Linked DNA regions of Solanum lycopersicum. The main gene of each other region encodes a partner of the protein of the gene in region 2 in a complex. Links are inferred from orthologs where the notes say so. Each region holds a gene or a part of one and is shown on either strand. Other genes may lie near its edges.

Region 1 (3,731 bases), on a different chromosome or scaffold from region 2:
TTGCTCATAGGATCAGTTATGACTTTTGAACATAAAGTGCTTGTGCTGTTCATGGTAACTACTCGCCTAGTTGTGCCATTGTTATCGCACATGCTCTCTTCACCACCCTGTATATCCAGATGAAAGCAACAAATTGTGTATATTTGCATGGAATTTATCTCAAAAGATGCTCTTAAGCATTGTATGTTGCCTCAAAACCCATTTCTTCTTGGGTCTGCATAAAATTAATGAAAAGAGCGTTGTTTTTTCTGATATATATAGCTTTATAGAGTAGCCTCTGCTTGTCATCCCTTCAGACGATTCTCAATAACCATCAGAACTTTTACATCATAGATCTCTCATTTACTAGTATTAGTTTGCGTTATTGGACAAAGACGTTTCCAAGTGCAGTGACAAGTGAGAACTTCTGTTTTCAAAGTTATTATACAGTACAACTAAATATTAGACTGAGATAAGGTTAAATGGAGCGACATGGATACTGAGCATTTGTGTAGCAATCAAGATGTAGTTGTAAGCTAAAGCGTATTTACTAATACTGCTACACTCAAAGCGTCATAATACTCTGTTGCAACAATTCCAGAGGTCTCCAAAGCCTACTGAATGAGTTCATCAGGGTTAACACAATTAACTAAAAAGCCACTTTACAAGATTGGAGATATATTTCCTAACAAAAATCGATTATAAACATAAATACTCGAGAATATAAGGTACACATAGCAGACACAAACATACAGCCTGTTTGTATATGTTGGTATGCTTAAGATCTAAATAAAGCTAACAGTGCAGTAGCTCATACTGCGATAAAAGTAAATCTCTGTGCCTAGAAAACACAAATGTAAATTTGCCAGATCTTCTCATAAGATGGCGAGGGAGGGAGGCGGTAAAGGTGGTTTACAAATATCATTCCAAAGTATTTCTTCTACATCGTTACAACATGACTTCATACATCAAACATCAACTTTAGCGGCTTACTAAGGCACATAAGATCTTCTGTTTCTCTCTGCTGATCACCAGACTCTGTAGTTACCTGAAAACAGTCACAACTAATAGTTCTTTGTTTTACAGCGATGAAAACAGAATAAAACGAAACCAATTTTTTTTTTCTAGTTTCCATTTGTCTGTCAGAAGTGTTGGGTCAAACTCAGCTTAATAAGTAAGGATAGTACATAATTGATCATAAAAAAAGAAGTTGGGTCAAACTTAGCTTAATAAGTAAGGATAGTATTCTTCATAAATAAAGTAAGGATAGTACATATAACATAATTGCTGCAGAAACTAGTGGTTACTCACAGTTATTCGTTCTGATGGAAGAGAACATATGATGCCACTAAAAAGCAGTTTTGTTAGCTTCTACTACTTTTCTATCAACCTGGAAATTTATACAAGACCAGCGGTTTTGTAATAGCAGCTCTTATATATGAATCAGTTTCAGTTCCAAGGGAATGTTCACTTATTTGCTTCATCATCAAGTCTAGGATACAAAGCCTATCACTAATAGTTCATTAAATAATACAAATTTGTTTCCAGATTATTTAACATAGTCAACGGAAACGACAAGGACAGGAAGTATCAGCGAGATTTCAGTATACCTATTGAGCTGCATCTTCAGAAAATCTGGCATCAAATGGAGCAGAAGGATTGGGATGTACTGCTGAAGCACTATTCGCTCCAGAACCATGTTGCAGTTCTATCACTAGCCATCTTACAGCTTTACTCATCTGCTCCAACCTAACAGCACTAATGGGTTGAAGGCCACTTGCAGCTGGTTGCCCAGGCTTCCCTGAAACAGTGCCTGTAGCCTCATCCACAAGACACTCGGAGCCAATTCTTTGCTTAACCGATTCCACAAACTCCTCCGCCTGATCACACGCAACCCTGAACAACTCCCACTTTTGCTTAAAGTTTTCTAATGCAGCATCAGTTGCTGCTGTTTTCTGACCATTAGAACTCTCCTTTGATTCAAGTACAACAGCTGATGCTGCAACAAAGTCTTGATATGCACTGCTCAGTGCATCTACGAGATTATCCATCACAACCCCTCGAAGCCCTAATTGATCACTAACCTCCGTAAATCTATAAAGGAGAGAATAAATTAGCAAGAACATCATTAAAAATTTAATCTTTGTATCAAGACCATCATTAAAAATTGAATCTTTATAGCAACAACATCATTAAAATTGAATCTTTAGCAAGACCATCACTAAAAATTGAATCTTTGTAGTAATTTCATCATTAAAAATTGAATCTTTGTACAACAATTAAAGAGCTATTATGCTATCAAATTCTGCATACAAAAACAAACCCAAGAAACAATTTTCTATGATTACCCAAAACACTCAAAAGCAAGAAATCAACTGAAACAAAATTGATGCAATACACAAATTTCTTGAAAATACTCAAATAAATTTAAGCAAATGAAAAGAAGAAAAACCACAAAGACTAGGGTTTTTCTACTTACTTGACTGAAGGAAGAAAATGGCTTCCACAATCTTCTCCTCTGTCTTTTTTTGGTTTTTTTCTCTTCTCCCCTCACTCTGTTTCGAAATAATTACATATTCCTCCCCAATAGTTTTCATTTGTAACACAAAGCTTCCCTTTAGTTTCAAAATTAATATTTTAGAGTGTAAGATTTTTAAAATATATTTGAATAAAATCATAATTGAGTAATAATTGTTTGAGTTTCTAATAATTATTTATATATATACGAGTGCTATTTTATTGGACTAAAGGAGTAGTATTATTTATGTATCTTAATTTTTATTTTATTTGTATTTTCATCATTAGTATTATATATTAAGTGTTCTATGTACATTAAAATGAGACATATATTTTTTTTCATTTGTTAGTGTTATATATTATTGATGAGTAATTATATTATATGTGATGAATAAAATTAATTTTACATTAATGTTTAAATTAAATATTTTGTTTAATTGCTCAAACTTGTCAAATTCATCGGTGACCTCCTAAACTTGCTATCGATTTTCACTTAGAACACCTAAATTAGGCGATGTTCATTTTAGACACCTCGTGTAGGGTTCTGTTGTGTCATTTTGGCACTTTTTGCTGACATGTCAAAGTGAGTGTGATACACTTAACAATAGCGCGTGAAAGACTTAATTTAGCCATTTTTAATTTTATTTTATCTTCTTCTTCTCCAAGCCACCACCCCCTTTTTTTTCGAATTTAAATTCCTTCAATGGAGGTCAAATTTTTTATTCAAATTCGTTGTTAAGTCATTTTCTTCTTCATCATTGTATTACTTATCTAAGTCTATCTTCACCTCACTCTATTTTTTGCCGGAAAAATGGATACCAACACCCATATTTCATGTTTATTCTCTCCCTCCTTTCTTTTTTTAAAGAAAAACAATACTAAAAAGAAGAATAAATATGAAAAATAGTAAAAGAAAATAATATTTTTTTGTAAAGCACAAAAGAGATTTGAGTGTAATGAAATAAGAAATTTTCGTAGAATAATATTTTAAATTTTTTTACTAAATAGATTTTATAATTATTTTTAACTGAAAATAATACATGTAATTATTTAATTGATTGTTTGCCACGTCATCAACGAGTGTATTACACATTTACACTCTCCTTTAGTTTTTTATTTATTGTCAGAAAAGTATCAAAATGACACAGTTGAACCTTACATGGGGTGTTTAAAATGAACATCGCCTGATTGAGGTATCTAAGTGAAAATTGGTGCCAAGTTTAGGGGCCATCGAT
Region 2 (2,705 bases):
ATACTTGGATAAATATAATGATAATAACTACAAATGGGTATAAGTTAAATATTTCCTTTTTAGTGGGGTTCATGTTTGATGAAGCTTCTCTTATTAGTGGTTTATTAGTCTTGTCAAAAATTGTTTATGTTATTTATTGTGATCAAATTGTTTGGTTTATCTCTTATTGGTAAGTCTTAATGAATGATGAATTTGGATTAAGACAAGACTAAAGTGACCTAATTAATAATTTAAAATGCACACTCGACTCTTCATAGCCACAAATAAGAGGTTTCTTTCTATATGTTTTGATGATTTAAACTACAAAAACTTTACTTGAAAATAGAAACTTTGAAAATATTTCTTCTCAACAAATATTGTTTTTAGTTGCAAATGTATCAATGAAGTAGGTTTCCAAGAAATGTAGGACAACAACAACAATAACATACCCAGTATAATTTTAAAAAATCGTACAAGTTAAATTCGGAGATGTTAAGATGTACATAGACATTGCTTAGAGGAGAAGTGTATACACAAGAACCTATAGTTTCTCCAAATGATGGAATAAATCCAACAAACAATTTACTTTTTTAAAAAAAAATTGAATCCACAATGATTTAGCTTATGAGCTATTGGATGTATGATATTCTCAGCTACATAATTTGTACAAGATAAATATTCTTCGAAGAAACGAAGAAAAAAAAATACAGATACGTAGAGACAAATCAATGGCCTGCAGTACTACTAACGCTAACCATATCCATTAAGGTTGAGTATAACACTTCTAAAGATAAATAACCTAAGAATTTCCTAGTTTCGGATTCACCACTGTTAACGTCCATTTGAAGTTTGTTTTCTTCAGAGAATCCATCGCCCATCACCAACCACCAGGAAATACATCCTTGAATATCTTCAGGGTCTACGTGTGCCACGAGACTGAGTGTTTCTCCTTGCTCTAGCTCAAATGACAAGGATAAGAAATCCCGGTTTGCTTTGATACCAACCATAAGGGCTTCTTCATGAAGCCATCGTATCACCTGGCTGGCAACCTGAAGAAGAAATTAATAGCTTGACATAAGGTTGCTGCAAGATTGGAAGTGACATTGATTTCCAACGTAGATTGTATATTGATTTGTTTATCGAAAGGAAGGGTACAAATGTGATGCTTTTGCTTTTCCCTTTCTGTGATAACTGAGAAAATGGAGCTTGGGGCTTTGAGATTCCCTATGATGGTGCGGAACATTATGTTCCCTTGTCTCCCCAATCCCCCAGTGCCAACTGGCAAAAGGTTTGAAATCTAAAGGATAATAGGTTTGCCCCTCTATACTCTGCGACAAGATTCAAACTCGTGACAGGCGCCTAACTAAAGCAGTGATTTGGAGGTGGGTGAGGACTGAGGCTGGGGCTTCACATTTGTTTCTATGGTAACAAAACAACATTCTCCCTCACCATCATGACCACAGCTATCCACCAGAAGTTTGGTCCCCGACCACAAGATAGCAAATTATCCTAGGCAGCAACACAAACAGTTTGAAAACCTTCTATGCTACTCGTATCACATAAATCACCCCACGCAATACAACAGAAAAAGACTCAAAGAGTTTGGATGGTTCAACTGAATCACAGGAAAAATAAAAAAAGTCTAGGATCATAGGCTTTCTTTTTTAAGGAAGTACCAGCTCTAGGATGAATAGAAGTTTATCCGGCCAGAAAATGAACGATTCTTCATAGTATGGTCACCCATTTTCATATCAAAACACAATAGTAAAGAGGATGAGGACACAGACCTGCTGCAATAGAACCATCGGAAGATCTGACAAGTCACAATCATATCTGTTCATAGGGCAAATACTATCAGGCTTTCCTTTGAAGAGGCCAACAATATTAGGAGCACCTTCCCCTTCCAGACTGATGCAATCATCACGCACCATGACTTTTGTACGAAAGTGAAATTTCACATTCTTTACATAGTCAGATGAGTGAGACAGGCTTCCTGCATGGAGAATTGACTCGGGTACATCCATGGAAAGCGTCCATGATGATGTTCGAGAATGCCAAGTGGGATGCGATATTAATTGGACATATGGTACCCTGCTAACCTACAGACAAAACAAGGAATTCTTCAGATACATAATGGCTACATTAGCTAGCAGTTTACAAACCCAGACAGAAAAGTTCATACCAGACTTTCGAGCTCTGCGAGGACTTTGTTTGAGAAGATCCTATGAGCTAGAGAGACGCAGAAATGTCCCAAAAGGTTGGGACCATCTTTCACAGGTTGAGAAGATATTTCAGGTTTGCCCAAAGATGATAATCTATTTTTGGCTTTTATAAACACATGTTCATGAAAAAGTTGTTGCAAATAAATTTCAAAACTAATTCGATTGGGAAACCCCAACTTTTTCAAGTCAAGTTTCCCTTCATCTTGTTTTGAAGCATCAACTGATTCAAAAGGCACAATAGCAGTTTCTGGATGTTCATCACCCACAGCATTAGCTGTCTGACCATCGTCAGCAGATGGTACAAGTGAAATGGACAGAGAAGCTCTTTGACCTATACTTAAACGTAACAAGTTTTCTTGTATTCCTGTCACGTCAGCACCCAAAGCTGGATTAAATGCTTCACGGTTAACCAAATCAAACACCTGCAACAAGGACCAAGAAAATAATCAGAAAACAGAAGTAGGTCACAAAAATGAATAAGAAAAACTCAAAGGGTACTAAAAA

The links. Proteins that work in one complex are often made in the same cells at the same time.
Region 1: mediator of RNA polymerase II transcription subunit 17 (region 2) and mediator of RNA polymerase II transcription subunit 32 share a complex: the UniProt entries of both Arabidopsis thaliana proteins name them as parts of the mediator complex. The link is inferred for Solanum lycopersicum from reciprocal best matches to the Arabidopsis thaliana genes AT5G20170 and MED32.

Annotation. Positions count from the first base shown.
Region 1 is NC_090807.1:64,223,120-64,226,850, forward strand, and holds mediator of RNA polymerase II transcription subunit 32, read right to left. Parts: upstream 2,605-3,731; 5' UTR 2,459-2,604; intron 2,457-2,458; exon of another isoform or gene 2,328-2,456; intron 2,074-2,327; 5' UTR 2,031-2,073; coding exon 1,590-2,030; intron 1,044-1,589; exon of another isoform or gene 1,028-1,043; 3' UTR 661-1,027; downstream 1-660. UniProt on the Arabidopsis thaliana protein: Component of the Mediator complex, a coactivator involved in the regulated transcription of nearly all RNA polymerase II-dependent genes.
Region 2 is NC_090811.1:1,517,956-1,520,660, reverse strand, and holds the end of mediator of RNA polymerase II transcription subunit 17, read right to left. Parts: intron 2,624-2,705; coding exon 2,162-2,623; intron 2,079-2,161; coding exon 1,767-2,078; intron 1,029-1,766; coding exon 705-1,028; 3' UTR 527-704; downstream 1-526. UniProt on the Arabidopsis thaliana protein: Component of the Mediator complex, a coactivator involved in the regulated transcription of nearly all RNA polymerase II-dependent genes.